Linked DNA regions of Cricetulus griseus. The protein of the gene in region 1 interacts with the protein of each later gene in a pairwise test. Links are inferred from orthologs where the notes say so. Each region holds a gene or a part of one and is shown on either strand. Other genes may lie near its edges.

Region 1 (5,293 bases):
GGCTAACTGTACATTCACAGCCCTCCACCGACCTTCTGAAGCAAAGCCGGACCCCAAGTGGAACACCTGAACACAGTTCCCTGCTGAGCGGCCCAACACTGAGTTGAAAGGAGGCCCCAGGGGTGGGAGCAACTGCAAAGCAAGTTCCAGGCCATCCTGGGCTACATGAAACCCTACTGAAAACTGAAAATAAAGAAGCAGGAGAGATAGCTCAATAGTTAAGCACACACTGGAGCTGGAGAGATAGCTCAGCAGTTAAGAGCACTGACTGTTCTTCCAGAGGTCCTGAGTTCAATTCCCAGCATCCACATGGCAGCTCACAACTGTCTATAACTCCAATTCCAGGGGATCTGAACCTTCACACCAATGCATTTAAAATAAAGTTAAATAATTAAAAAAATAGTTAAGCACCCTGACTGCTCTTCCAGCACCCATATGGCAGCTCACAACTGTCAGCAACTCCAGTTCCAGGAGACCCAACACTCTCACACGGACGTGTATGCAGGCAGAAGACCAATGTACATAAAATAAAAACAAATCATTTTTAAAAACCAGGTGGTAGTGTCACACACCTTTAACCCAAGCACTAGAGACAGGTGAATCGCTGAGAGTTTGAGACCAGCCTGGTCTACAGAGCGAGTACCAAGGGCTATGTAGAAAGACCCTGTCTGGAAAAAGTAAATAAATAAAACAGATGTTTTAAATGAAAATAAAAAAGAGGGTTTGGAGAGATGACTCAGTAGTTAAGAGTGTGCGTGCTGCTTTTCCAGAGGACTAGAGTTCAGTTCCCAGCCCATGTATTTTGAACAGCTCACAATTGGTGGTAACTTCAGTTCCAGGGGGGGGATGTAATACCCTCTTCTGGGCCTCCTCAGGCACCGTCACCCATGTGGCACACACACATAAACCATTTATTTTTAATTCTTTTTGGTTTTTGGAGACAAGGTTTCTGTGTAGCTTTTGGAGGCTGTCCTGGCACTTGCTCTGTAGACCAGGCTGGCCTCGAACTCACAGAGATCCTCCTGCCTCTGCCTCCCGAGTGCTGGGATTAAAGGCTTGAGTCACCAATGCCCGGCAGAAGCCATTTTTTAGAAAAGATATTTTAAAAGTTATGTGTATCTGTGTAAGTACACGTGAGTATGTTTGATTGACTAGAGCTGGATATATACATATATAATATTTTTAAAAATTTATTTATTATACAGTGTTCTGCCTTCATGTATGCTATATGCCAAAAGAGGGCACCAAATCACATTTGTAGATGGTTGTGAGCCACCATGTGGGTTGCTGGGAATTGAACTCAGGACACCTGGAAGTGGAAGAGCAGCCGGTTCTCACACATCTGAGCCATCTCTCCAGCCCCTATAATTTTTGTTTTGTTTTGTTTTCTAAGGAAAGAGAAAGTTAATGAACTCCACCCCAGACCAGCCCAATCAGAATCAGAATATCTGAGGCTGCGGCCAATGTTTTTATTATTATTATTAATTATTTATTATTATTATTATTATTATTATTATTATTATTATTATTATTATTATTATTATTATTATTATTATGCCGTCTGGAGTCAGGATGATAGCTCCGCACCCTCCACGGAATCCCGCAGCTGCCATGCCAACTCCCGGTAAAAACGCCCCATCCTAAGAGCCCACGCTGCACGCTCTGAAACTACAGTTCCCACAATGCCTAGAGGCCCACGCGGCGCTCTTGGCATACTTCTCCCGAGGTGTCTTGCGAGCCCGACCGACCTCCTGACGCCGCAATGACTACAACTCCCAGAATGCTCGGAGACGCAACTACCGCCCCCTAGAGTGCCAAGCGGCGCCATGTCCTGAGCGTCCGGGCTCGGGCGGGGGCCGGCTGGGTGCGGCGGGGCTCGAGGCTGTCCGCGGCGATCCCACACACCGCAGCGTAGACATGGCGGCCCAGAAGGACCAGCAGAAGGATACGGAGGTGGAGGGGCTGAGCGCCACGTGAGCGAGCAGGGTGTAACCCCCCATACTCCCGAGCGTGGGGTCCCAGGCGTCCCGGCCCCCGGGCTTTGCAGAGGAGATGTCCCCCGGGGGCCGCGATGTGCTGGGATCTGGGGTCCGGGCCCTGGGACCGCTTGCGGCTGACCTGCCCCCGCCCCGCCCCGCCCTCCAGGACCCTGCTGCCCAAGCTGATTCCCTCCGGCGCCGGCCGAGAGTGGCTGGAGCGGCGCCGCGCGACCATCCGGCCCTGGGGCGCTTTCGTGGATCAGCAGCGTTTCTCGCGACCCCGCAACCTGGGCGAGCTTTGCCAGCGCCTGGTACGCAACGTGGAGTATTACCAAAGCAACTACGTGTTCGTGTTTCTGGGCCTCATCCTTTACTGCGTGTGAGTGCCTCGGCAGCCCCGCCCTCCTGCGCCAGGCCCCGCCCCCTGTTGCCAGGCCCCGCCCCCCGCCGGTTAGCTAGGCCCAGGGCCTTGTCACCCGAGCACCCAGGAGTCGGTCTGTATTCCTGAATCCACCCGAGCCGGGATGCAGTCTAGCCACCCCATGTGATGCCCAAGGCTAGAGGGAGCCGGCTCACACAGCCTCAGACGCCTGACTCCTGTCTCCCACACTCTTCCAGGGTGACATCCCCCATGCTGCTGGTGGCTCTGGCTGTCTTCTTTGGCGCCTGTTACATTCTCTATCTGCGCACGTTGCAGTCCAAGCTTGTGCTCTTTGGTGAGAAACCCCCCGCCCAAACGGATCCCCAGGTCCCACAGAACTGCAGACCTCCGAATATTTGGGAATCAAGTCGGTCCCACCGAGAGGTGCACTAGAGTCATTAAACTTAGTCCTTAAGGTCGCAGGTGAATACCCTCCAGTCTCAGCTCCCCAAAACCCAGGGAGAGCCCTAAAACCCCGGCTCCTGTGTCTCCTGTAAAATGAATCAGTCCTTCCCAATCCTCCCCGGGGAGAGCATCCGCTGCAGGTACCCACACTGGACACCAGGTGGCGACCGTGTGCAGGCCTAGGTCTGTCTGCCTTCCCATGCCTTCTGTCCCAGGGCTGAACTGGTAAGATACTAGATATTTCCAGAAGGGGAAACGGAGACCTGTCCGCCCACTGGGAAGAGAAGTGTCAGGGAAGACCCACTGAGAGGAAATCCCAGGTTTGCCAAGGAGACCTGTGACAGTCTTTCAGGTCCCAGACAGGTTACCAGAGGAAGATGGACTAGGGCCGAGCGAGAAGAGCCTGAAGCACAAGAGAACTTGGCCTTGGCAGATAGTAGTCACTAGGGCATACACAATTTCCAGACATAGGAGAGCCTGAAAAAAATTGTTTTGAGATAGGGTCTTCTTACGTAGCCTCGGCCTGCCAGGAGCTCACTCTGTAGACCAGACTGGCCTCCAACTCACAGATTTCCCCTGCCTCTGCCTCCTGAGTGCTGGGATTAAAGGAGTATGCAACCATGCCCTAGCCTTACAAAATTTGTTAAGCACCCAGAAGGCAGGCCCTCTGGGAAAGCAGCAAGTGCTCCTAACTGCTGGGCCGTCTCTCCAGTCCCCACAAACCAGATTCTTGTGAAACACTTCAAAGACAGACAGACGTTCTGGCTCATGCCTGTAATCCCAGCATTTGGGAGGCTGAAACAGGATGATTGCTGTAAATTCAAAACAAGCCTGGGCTTCAGAGTCTTTTAAAAAATCAAAATGAGCCAGGCATTGGTGGCGCACTCTTTTAATCCCAGCACTCGGGAGGCAGAGGCAGGCGATCTCTGTGAGTTCGAGACCAGCCTGGTCTACAGAGCGAGTGCCAGGATAGGCTCCAAAGCCACAGAGAAACCCTGTCTCGAAAAACAAACAAACAAACAAACAAAAATCAAAATGAGAGCTGGGCATGGTGGCACACACCTTTAATCCCAGCATTCGGGGTGAGGCTGGTGGATCTCTGTGAGTTCAAGGTCATCCTGGTCTACAAATCGAGTTCCAGAACAGCCAGTGCTATACAGAGAAACCCTGTCTCAAGTTTTTAAAAAACAAAAAATCAAAATAATGGTTTGGAGAGATGGCTCAGTGGTTAAAATTGAATTCTGTTCTTGAAAGGACCCAGGTTTTGTTCTCAGAACCCAATCCCCATGTCAGGTGACTGTCACAAGGCCACCTGTCACTCCAGCTTCTGGCCTCCATGGGCACCTGAACTCTTGTGCACATATGGCCACACAGGGTACATACACGTAATTCAAAGTAATAAATAAAATTATATAAGTTAAAAATAAGAAGACAAAAACCCTTAGGTCATGGACTGGAGAGATGGCTCCGGGGTTAAGAGCACTGACTGTTCTTCCAGAGGTCCTGAGTTCAATTCCCAGCAACCACATGTTGGCTCACAACCATCTGTAATGGGATCTGATGCCCTTTTCTGGCACGCACTGTATACATGATAAATAAATAAATCTTTAAAAAAAAAAAAAAACCCTCTTAGGTCAGACCTGGCAATGGGGCCACAAGGTTGAGAGTCCTGGTATCCAGGCTGGGACATGAGGCTAGCCTGGTCTGAGAGACAAGTGGCTTGGGAGGTCCTGGGGAGGGGGGGATAGAGAGCAGAGCTGGGGCTGAGGAAGGTGGTTTCATTCTGGTTATGTTTGGGGAAGCAGGATCAGGGATGGGAGGCCATAGAAACTAGACTTACTGAGGGCGGCTCTGGTTACCTCTGGGAAAGGGTCAGGTGGGCACAGCTGCCCAATACCATCTGTCCCCAGGCCGGGAGGTGAGCCCAGCGCATCAGTACGCCCTGGCTGGCGGTGTCTCTTTCCCCTTCTTCTGGCTGGCAGGTGCTGGTTCGGCCGTCTTCTGGGTCCTGGGTGAGTAAAGGGTCTGGGTCTGGTGAGCTTGGGAGCCAGATGAGAGAACACATCCTGAACTACCCATCCTCCTATAGGAGCCACCCTGGTGATCATCGGCTCCCATGCTGCCTTGCACCAGATAGAGCCTTCAGACGGAGAGGAACTGCAGATGGAGCCTGTGTAAGATGTCAGAACCTGCCTGCCTTGCCGGCTGCCAGGTCTGTCTGTCCTTGTCCTGCCCGGCCTTGCCTGCCCCTCATCCACCTCAGGCCTCAATTCCAAGGAGAGGCTTTGTCTTTGGAAATAAAGTTGTTACAGTTGCTACTTGGCAAACGCTTTCCTGGTATTTTCTCTTTTATAGGTAAGGAGAGGGTTTCCTGAGAAACGGGGGCTGGAGAGGTGGCTCAGCCAATAGGAGCACTAGGTTCAGTTCCCGGCACCCACAATGGCAGCTCATGCTTGTCTGTAACTCCAGCTGCTGGGGATCTACTCCC
Region 2 (5,265 bases), on another chromosome or scaffold:
CTGCATTGATCATGATATATGTTTTCCTTTTCAACTGAGGACAACACTGAGGTCAGATCTCATTTGCAAAAACCAGTGTGTCCATTCCCTTTTGATAACAAGGTAGAGAAACCAAGAAAGCACAGCTCAACCAAGAGCTTCAGTTCTTAAAAACAAGACTCATTAGCACCAGGGCTTAAGTTCATTCAGAATTCATCTATTCTAACAGCTAGGCCTCTAGCCATAGGAACATTGGAAAATACAGTAAAGGCATTTTCCAAGATTTGTAGCTAATCAAGAAGATGGAGGTTTGTCTCTCAAGCAGAAGAAAGCAATAAACTCAAGATGAAGTATGAAGGTGCTTGCTGGAAGCTCTGGGAAACTATCATATTCCAGCTAGGTGTCAGAGCAGCAAGACCACAGGAGAATGGTATTGTTTCCTACTGGGTAGTGGTAACATTTAAATACCTCACTATGCCCATCCAACATTTAACATCTCAAAAACATTTATAAGTGAAGTTGGATGATTATCTCTAAAATCATCAAATCTCCCAGTCTATGAAATAGAGATGGATGATCAAAGAACATTTTCCGGAGGGAAAGAACAGAAGTCTAAAGACAATCCTTCCCTAATAGGTAAAACTGAGCCTTGCAGCTTAGATGTGATTTTGCTCCTGCTGCAGCACTAGACTGCTCACTGTGAGTATGGCTGCGCTTTAAACTTGCCAGGTTCTTTAATTTACTGCAGTGGTGATGTTTGTTAATTTTATGGCAATCTAAATCTGAACAGGCTTCAGATACATTTTCATTACAGCTTCATTGCAAAACACAGCAGAGTAAATACCGCTTAAGATTCTGATGTGGTTTATTTCTTTGAGACTCACAGAATCTCCCAACAAAGCCTCTGCCTTGACATATACAGTCTTCCTACTTCCTGATAAATGTTCTGTCACTCAGCATCCCCATGATCACTTTTAAGGTGGAAATATATTTTTTGGAAGTCTTTAAGACAGTTGCTTTCATCTGTTTCTGTTTCAAACACAAACCAACATGGGCCAATCTGAGGATGCCTGAGTATGATAGCATGCATTATTTTCCAGTTCTGTGTATGAAGCAATAAAACTAAATAGACAAGGATGGCAGATGATCAGAACCTGATTTGATTCCTGATTCTTACACTAGTATGTGACACTGGACAATCACCTCATTTAGAGAATGGAAATGCAATACTATCTATTTTAGAAATGTCACTCCTTGCCCTCACTCAGCTATCTTTAACTATTCAAGTAATCAAAGCCCTTTGTTCTTGTGTCTAAACAGAGGAAAATTTCTTCCTGTAGAACAGCACTGACAAAAACACAGCTCTAAAGCTGTCCAAAGACAACTCAAGAGGTCAAACACCAATACATCATCTGTAAACAACTGGGAGCTTATGAAGTGTGTAAAGTAGAACTCAGCTGTATCTACCATCACTTCATCACAATCTGCCCACAGTGCTGCAGAGATTCCACATTTCTATACATGTCCTTTTGAACATGTTAAGAAACAGGAAGAAAACATGCATTAAAGTATCTATGAAGCCACTAACTATATCCAGAAATATGGTCCATTATAACATTTAAATTTGTTATTTCTCAATTTTATATTTAATTCAAATATGATCAATTACTTTATGTAGAACTTATATATAGTATGCATTTTTAAGGCAAAACACACACACACACACACACACACACACACACACACACACACACACACACACCCTAGTGAGATGATCCTGGTAGTAGCTGAGACTGAAGCCACTGATGTCTCATGGGAAATTTTTAGGGCATTTCTAAGATAAGAAGGCTTGAGTCCTTGCCTTCTGCTGATGGCAGCTTCATCCAACTTCTAACAGGGCCATCTGATGAAGCAGTAAATCTGGTATGAAGAAAGAGTACTGTGACAGAGGACAGTCAGGAACAACCAGTACAATGTGACAATTTGGTCCCCAATATGCCAGTTTCTATGCAAGGTGACTAATGGTAGTTGCCTGGTAAATATGCATAGACCTATTTAACATAAAGTTATGAAATTAGGATTATACTACAAACTAGAACCATTTTCTACTGTTTATGCTCAGGGCAACCTTTCAACTGTGACTTATTTTGTTTATTCTCAATTATTCATGTCAAATCAGAAAGCTGTATTTTTTTGGTACACATACACAATTTTTTCAAAGTTCTTGTCCGAACATTCTCTAGCAAAATTTATCCTTGCAAATGAAACATAGTTTTGAATACCAGAAAGTTTTGCCCCAAATTAGAAAATTTTATAATATTAATTTGCACTTCATTTTAACATGCATTGTATCTTTCTACTCTTCCTCAGAACACTCACCTCTGGGATAAAGATGTTCAATGCCATCATTCTCAGAATGTAAGAAAAGACAGGGTAAAGGGCCAACATATACAATGGAAACTATTTAGAGAACTGTGAAAACTCAGTACTAAAACCAAAGAGTGGCTTCCAGAGATCCATGGGGTAGGTAAGAAGGGGGAAAGGGAAAAGAGGGAGAGGGAGGAAGGGAGGGAGGGAGGGAGGGAGGGAGGGAGGGAGGGAGGGAGGGAGGGAGGGAGGGAGGGAGGGAGGGAGGAGTGCAACAAGAACCATTAGGGCAGTGGAAATGTTCTCAGGTGCTATAAGCATAGGCATCTTTCTGAGTGCACAGACTGCATGAGACTAGGACTGCTCCATAACAGAATGTGGACTTGAGGTGCTGATGTGTCAATGCTGGTTCATGAGCTGTAAGTAACAAACAGACCTCTCTGGCAGGTTGTGTTACTAAGTAAGCCATGCATATATGGGAGCAGGGAGCATGGAGACATCTCTGAGATAATATTGCCATGAAACTAAAACTGATCTTAAATTTTTTTTAAGGAAAGGAAAATCACCAGGAACACCCCTCCACCCCCAAAACACATATACATTTCCCACTAAGTGTATGGGCATTATGAATAACTGCTAAAATACAGTATCTATTTTATCAGACTCAACCTAACATCTATTTTTGTGTATGTTCAAAAGTTGACCTAATAGTGAATCTTCTAAAGACCTTTTAAATGAGAATCCATGTTAATGAGAAGTCCTTAATCTAAGTAGAACTATAGCCCTAAATTACTAACTAAAATATGTTAAAATTGATTACCCACATTTTACCATATTATGGTTAATCCAGGAAACACTTATTTCCCTCACATTTTAACTAATAGGGGTTTCTGGAAATCTGGAGTCATTAGGTAATTGATAGCATGCTAGAGTTAAATTGGCAATGTGACTTTCTGCTATTGGCACATAGAACAGTGACACAGCTTAAACTCAAAAGATACCTGAGGCTCAATGAAGTATGGCTAGTAAGATTGCTGAGAAGATTTTTAATTCCTTATTCTTTGTGATCAGGGTTTAGCACACAATGCCTACTCTACCCTATCCTGGAACAGTCACAATTAACCAGGAGTCTCAGCCTCAAATGATCCCAGAAATTCCTTCCACATAGTCGAGCACAATCCATAGAATTAATTCCCAGTAGGGTCTTAGAACTCACAGTGTATGAGATAAAAAAACAAACAAACAAACAAACAAACAAAAAAACTCACTATGCAATGATGCTTCTCTTTTTGTCAGTGGTTAAAGTTTATGAACAAAGTAGTGCCTAGGCTGAATTCTCCATAGCTCTGCATGGCACCAAGTGCAAGGTTGAAGGAAGTGGGAAAGAAGGGCTTACAGGTGTGCTAGTTAGGTACCATGAATGTAAAAACTGGAACAAAGGGATATGAGGGTTAGCTTCATTTCATGGCTCCCACAACACTCTTGGTTTTGTACATCATTTTTACTTATTTTAGTCTGTTAACACCTACCCCTTATGGCCCTTGGAATTGGTTAGTACAGTCTAGTAGAAGAGCAACAGAGGGTTTGTGCAGGACTGAGAGTGGCGGCTGCTGACCTGTTCATATTTCTCCAGTTCTGTGTGATAGATTTGTCTGATCTGGGTCAATTTGGCTCTGTAATCTGAGTGTTCAATAGAGTTATCTGAAGAACCTCCAGAGGCTGCTGCGGCTGCAGCTGCTGCCGCCGATCCCCCACCTTTCTCAGGACCTGAAACCCCTTCTGCCAAAAGCATATTGTCCAGTCTCATTAGCTGGGGGTCGGGAGGGTCTTCCTCCTGGGCTCCTCTGATGCTGAGACCTTCAAGGAAAGAGAAAGACAGAGAGAAGAAGCGAGAGACAGAGGACAAACAGTGTGAGTATTTTGTTTGAGAAAATGATCAAACAACATTAGTGTACTACAATTCATGCTGAGAGCGTCATCGCTCACATTTCATAAACAGGCTTGACTATGAGAACTGCTTTCAAAATACATTTACATGCATCCTAGGACTCTTTCTACACCCCTTCAGAATTTACCCCCAACTTGGACTCTTAGAAAGAGGTAAGTTTGACTTCTTAGAATATTCTAATTATCTGAGCTTCGGATTTAAATGATTTATACATAAAGTAGGAAGGAGGACCTAAGAAGAGAATATTGCAGAGATATAAATAAACTCATCAAAACATGGTTAATCTGTCTCTCTATACAGTTAAAGAAACATAATTTAAAATTCCCATAAAATAATTTTAACCTACAAGCTCTATCCAAAATTAGGAAATAAATAAGACTAGATGGCTTTTCTATCATGCAATCTCAAAAGCAAAATACATTCAATAGGAAGTAATTAGCTAGACTTAAATACATATTAAAAGGGCATTGCTAGGCATGTGCCAGCAAACTGCACAAGGGCACCAAATACAGAGTTTAAAATGTGCCACTGACACAGCAATTGAGTGCTGGGCACAGAAGTCTCAATCTCACTCTGCTTTTATATCAAGAACTTCCAAGTGATGCCAGTCAGCAACCTCTTCTGAGTACAATAGATCACAGCTGACAATTCATAGGTTTAATCAGGTCACACAGGCTTTCTGCCAAGATGTTTTCAGCAACACAGAAGACAAAGTTTTAAAATAATTATTGTGGTATAAAAAGCACTGGAGTCATGACAGCTCAAAAATCAGCATTTTCATTAATGTGTAACACGATATAAACTATCCCAGCCCAATTAACCTCTGTAAATCTGTTCAGAAGCAGGTTCCCTGCTCTAGTTACAAGGCATGGGGAGGGGGAGTTGGCATCTCATATGTTTGCATTTGGATTCTGCCTCTTGTGCCTGTGCCTGTTGTTTATCCACAGCGGCACACACTCTGTGTCTAGTGT
Region 3 (5,365 bases), on another chromosome or scaffold:
GTTTCAGCCCCATGAGATCCAGTGCCACCTTCTTATCTCTATGGCCAGCAGGCATGCGTGTAGCACAGGCATATGTGCAGGCAAAACACTCATACACATAAACATAAAATAAAATTTCTCCCTTGGACTTCAGGAATTGTTGCTTATTGTTAATTCACTGAAGAACACAAAAACAAAGCATGAGTTCACATTTGCTGTTGCAGTAACCACATTACCTAGCAGTGTATGTATTAAGATTGTGGCTAGCGTGTTTTTAATTTTGGGGATGTGTGTAAAGGGTACATATGAGCTCCGGAGATGGTTCAGAAGATAAAGTACTTATAAATGTGAGGATCAGAATTCACCCATCAAAATGCATGTAGGCGTGGGGCCCACCTCTAATTCCAGTCCATGGAAGGCAAAGACGCTGGATCACTGAAGCTTTATGAGTCATATCAGTGAGCTCTGGGTTCAACTGAGAGGTCTTGCCTCAATGAATAAGGCAAGTAGTAATCCAGGAAGACTTTACTTCAGCCTCAGATCTCCACATGCATGTATCATACACACACAAAAAAAGAAAAGGTGCACATGTGTGCATGCATGTGTGAGTGAGTGAGTGAGTCTTCTGTGAATTGTTTTAAAATTTTAAATACAAATTGTGCTTTTAAGCCATTGTATTTCAACTTGCTGGGCTTTGTTTGTTACTTCCAGGTGTTGTAAGTCTTTTCCTTTCACTTTTTATGTTTAGTGGTGATGGCCAGATCTTCATTAAAATTAGTTATTATACCATGGAGCAAGAGGGGCACATTGATAAGAGTCAGGTTGGAATCGTAGATCTTCATATTCATAGTCTTTTGAGTCTCAGTCTAGTTTTAGCCAGAAAGAAAGGAACAAAGCCAGCGTTGGTTCTGTCAATACCGTGCTCATTGAGGTGAAGTACTTTCACTTGGTGAAGTACACCTCCTTTTCCCACTAGGGCATGGCAGAACAACCTGATTTGGGATGAATGGCTGCAGCCAGGAAGGAGTACGCTGTGGACTCTGGATTCTTATTTTTGCCAACTGCCTAGCATAAAAGAATTTAGAATTTGGTGTCAGTACCACCAGCCAAATTGTAGGCAATGTCTTTGCTTCTGGATTTTAACATATTTGATACTTGCAGTGCAGTTTAATAATGTAAGCATTGAATTAGGATCTGTTGTGTCTGATCCTAATAATCTACAGTTTCCTCTTGTACTTCCCAAGTCTGTTGTAATGAAATTGTTTTGCCTTTCCTGATTCTTTTCTAATAGTGGGACACAGCAGGCCAGGAAAGATTTCGAACAATCACCTCCAGTTACTACAGAGGAGCCCATGGCATCATAGTTGTGTATGATGTGACAGATCAGGTGAGTTCCTAGAGACTATTGTATGTGTGTAGATTTTCGACACACTGTGTAGTTCTGATTGACCTGGAAATTATTATGTAGACAGAATGTCCTTGAATACTTTTGATCTGAAAGTTATTTTTACCATTTGAGAAATTAAAAAAAAAAATAAAAATTAGCACTCATTTTTCTTGTAGCAAATGTTAAATCAACTCTTTGTGACTTATGGGCAATTTGGAAATAACTGAAGACATTTAGGAGCAAAAGATGGGTGAATGTGGGCAGGAAAAGAAAATGCTACATTAACATGATGTCGTGTGCCTGGGTTCTTGCTACTTGGGAGGCTGAGATAGGCTCTCAGAAGACTGAGACCAGTCTAGGCAGCACAACACAGCAGATCACATCTCAAAAAGGCCAACACCCAGAGCAGACAGAACATGTTACTTTTTTAAAATTTTATTTTTATTTTATATACATTGGTGTTTTGCCATGGGTGTTGGGTCCCCTGGAACTGGAATTACAGACAGCTGTGAGCTGCCATGTGGGTGCTGGGAATTGAACCCCGGTCCTCTAGAAGAGCAGTCAGTGCTCTTAACCACTGAGCCATCTCTTCAGCCCAGAACATGTTACTTTTAAACGTCCAGTCTATCACCATTATTTTGTTGTGTTTTGAGACAGAGTTTCTCTGAGTAGTCCTGGCAGTCCTAGAACTCTGTAGAACTCAGAGATCTGCCTGCCTCTGCCCTCTAAGCACTGGGATCAAAAGCATGTGCAATCACTCCCAGTCTACCATAAAATATTTTTGAGAAAAGAAAAAGGAAAAGGTCTCACCAAAAGTTTTTTTTTTTTTTTTTTTTTTTTTTAAACTAGTTTTCTCCTCCCCATCCACTCACTATCTTGTAGTGGCATTTAAGCTCAGAGATTTCTGCATGCCAGGAAGTAGTCAGTCCCTGAACTGTACCCTCGGGCCAAACAGTTATCTTTTTGATAGTAGTAACACTGCTGTTATTCATGACCAGTTTTTGTTGTTAATTTTTGTTTGGTTTATTTTGAGACAGGATCTCCCTTAAGGTAGTCCTGGCTGACGTGCAACTAACTGATTTTGTAGAATGGGCAGGCCTAGAACTCAGAGATCCACCTGCCTCTGCCTCCCTAGTTCTGGGATAAAAGCTGTGTCACTACTCAGTTTAAAAACCAGAATTCTACTAAATTTCAGAAACTAGGTTTTGTTAATATCTAAATTTCAACTTAAAATTGGGTTTGCCTGGGGGCTGGAGAGATGGCTCAGCGGTTAAGAGCACTGACTGTTCTTCCAGAGGTCCTGAGTTCAATTCCCAGCAACCACATGGTGGCTCACAGCCACCTTGAATGAGATCTGCATGCAGGCAGAAGACTGTATACATAATAAATAAAATCTTTAAAGAAAAAATTGGTTTGCCTGTCATTAAATATTAAACTGTTTCCCTTCCCAAATAAGCTATTTTCACTTCAAGCCTGCCAGTCCTCCTTATCATTCATTAGATGAACATTGTCATTGTAATATATTAGTTCATTTCTTTTCTTGCATTATAGTTATAGCTAGAGTTGCCACAAAATGAGCTGTTATCAGTTGATCATTGGTTGCATCCAAAACTGTATCATCATTCTTGTCTTTAGGAGTCCTTCAATAATGTTAAACAGTGGCTGCAAGAGATAGATCGCTATGCCAGTGAAAATGTCAACAAGTTGTTGGTAGGGAACAAATGTGACCTGACCACAAAGAAAGTAGTAGATTACACAACAGCGAAGGTATGTATGAGGTCTGATTTTCTAATTACTTAATTAATTTTGGGACAGGGTTTCTCTGTATAACAGCCCTGGCTGTCCTGGAACTCACTCTGTAGACCAGGCTGTTTTCGAACTCACAGAGATCCTTCTGCCTCTGCCTCCCAAGTGCTGGGATTAAGGGCATGTGCCACCACCACCTGTCGAGGTTTGATTTTCAAGTTGAATTTTAATTATGGGGACGGGAGTCATACAGTGGCTAAACTTTTAAAAGCCAGTGAATTTAGTCCTTCATTCCCATTTCAGAAAGCATTAACAGCAAGTTAGAAAGGTTTTCCAGTGTTGATTGTTCCTTATTACTCTCTCAGGAATTTGCAGATTCCCTTGGAATTCCATTTTTGGAAACCAGTGCTAAGAATGCAACGAATGTAGAACAGTCTTTCATGACGATGGCAGCCGAGATTAAAAAGCGAATGGGCCCTGGAGCAACAGCTGGTGGTGCAGAGAAGTCCAATGTTAAAATCCAGAGCACTCCAGTCAAGCAGTCAGGTGGAGGTTGCTGCTAAAATTTGCCTCCGTCCTTTTCTCACAGCAATGAATTCGCAATCTGAACCCAAGTGAAAAAACAAAATTGCCTGAATTGTACTGTATGTAGCTGCACTACAACAGATTCTTACCGTTTCCACAAGGTCAGAGATTGTAAATGGTCAATACTGACTTTTTTTTTTATTCCCTTGACTCAAAGACAGCTAACTTCATTTTCAGAACTGTTTTAAACCTTTGTGTGCTGGTTTATAAAATAATGTGTGTAATCCTTGTTGCTTTCCTGATACCAGATTGTTTCCCGTGGTTGGTTAGAATATATTTTGTTTTGATGTTTATATTGGCATGTTTAGATGTTGGGTTTAGTCTTCTGAAGATGAAGTTCAGCCATTTTGTATCAAACAGCACAACCAGTGTCTGTCAATTTCCATGCATAAAGTTTAGTGAGACGTTATATGTAAGATCTGATTTGCTAGTTCTTCCTTGTAGAGTTATAAATGGAAAGATTACACTATCTGATTAATAGTTTCTTCATACTCTGCATATAATTTGTGGCTGCAGAATATTGTAATTTGTTGCACACTATGTAACAAAACTGAAGATATGTTTAATAAATATTGTACTTATTGGAAGTAATATCAAACTGTATGGTGATAAGTATTGTTTTAATTCTTATGGTTAAAGGGAAATAGGGATTTGCATTATACTCAACAGCCAATTTGTGTGTGCAACAAGGGCACTGTAGACCTATCTAATAATAGCACAGCATCCAGTATTTGCTTTCTAGTAATAGACCTGCTAAGTGACCTAGAGAAGCTTCTGTGCTGTGTAGACTGAACCAAATTCATTGGTTCAAGGAGCTCAGAGTGTATGGAAAACAAGTTTAGAATGTGTGCTTTCTAGTGCTTCATCTCCAGCTCTAAAACCGTTGTCTGAAGTGGCTTCACTCAAACTTTCTTCATGCATCTGTGGTAGAGATGGAGAGCAGCACATGCTTTACTCCCAGGCAGTGATCTAGTAACATGTGCTGGTGCTTCCTCCATGCTCTGGCAGATGCCACACACCCACCCCACCCCACCTCACCTACCCCAGTTTTTGGGATTTTTATTTTTTGCTTTTAGAGACAGGGTTTCTCTGTGTAGTTCTGGCTGTCCTGGAACTTGCTCCGTGGACCAGACTGGCCTCGAACTCAGGGATCCACCTGTCTCTGCCTCCAAGTGCTAGGATTAAAGGCATGCACCACCATGCCTGCTTTATCTTTTTTCTTTTCTTTTTTGAGATAGAGTCTCACTATGTAACCCTGGCTGGCCTGCAACTTAGTATGTGCAGCAGGCTGGCCCCTAACAGAGATCCACCTGCCTTTTCCTCCCAAGTGGTGGGATTAAAGGCATGTACCACAATACTGAGACTGCAATGTTTTTTTGAGACAATGTCTCATGTAGTTCAAGAGGCCTCAAATTCACTTGTAACCAAGGATGGCCTTGAATTCCTGATCCTCCTGACTCCACTTCTAGGTGTCAACTTTTTATTCTTTCCAATTGTATAACTCATGTTGGAGGAGAGGTTAAACTTTAGAATAGAAAGCAGGAAATGTTGATTGCCCTAATTGTAGAAATTAAATCCCCCCAAATTAACTGAAAACATGGATGCTAGATGGGAATGATGAGAGAAATAATATATTTATTTCGGTGAAATTTTTGCATGTGTGAAGTT

The links.
Region 2: the proteins of Rabac1 (region 1) and Pbx3 interact in a two-hybrid assay, tested with the Homo sapiens proteins (2 studies listed by BioGRID). The two-hybrid records come from large-scale screens. The link is inferred for Cricetulus griseus from reciprocal best matches to the Homo sapiens genes RABAC1 and PBX3.
Region 3: the proteins of Rabac1 (region 1) and Rab1a interact in a two-hybrid assay, tested with the Homo sapiens proteins (2 studies listed by BioGRID and IntAct). The link is inferred for Cricetulus griseus from reciprocal best matches to the Homo sapiens genes RABAC1 and RAB1A.

What each region holds. Positions count from the first base shown.
Region 1 is NC_048602.1:9,713,601-9,718,893, reverse strand, and holds Rabac1 (prenylated Rab acceptor protein 1), read left to right. Parts: upstream 1-1,799; 5' UTR 1,800-1,917; coding exon 1,918-1,973; intron 1,974-2,145; coding exon 2,146-2,358; intron 2,359-2,597; coding exon 2,598-2,695; intron 2,696-4,715; coding exon 4,716-4,817; intron 4,818-4,894; coding exon 4,895-4,983; 3' UTR 4,984-5,132; downstream 5,133-5,293. UniProt on the Homo sapiens protein: General Rab protein regulator required for vesicle formation from the Golgi complex. May control vesicle docking and fusion by mediating the action of Rab GTPases to the SNARE complexes.
Region 2 is NC_048599.1:145,945,214-145,950,478, forward strand, and holds part of Pbx3 (pre-B-cell leukemia transcription factor 3), read right to left. Parts: intron 4,204-5,265; coding exon 3,962-4,203; intron 1-3,961. UniProt on the Homo sapiens protein: Transcriptional activator that binds the sequence 5'-ATCAATCAA-3'.
Region 3 is NW_023276807.1:86,262,071-86,267,435, reverse strand, and holds the end of Rab1a (ras-related protein Rab-1A), read left to right. Parts: intron 1-1,270; coding exon 1,271-1,366; intron 1,367-3,001; coding exon 3,002-3,133; intron 3,134-3,477; coding exon 3,478-3,675; 3' UTR 3,676-4,295; downstream 4,296-5,365. UniProt on the Homo sapiens protein: The small GTPases Rab are key regulators of intracellular membrane trafficking, from the formation of transport vesicles to their fusion with membranes.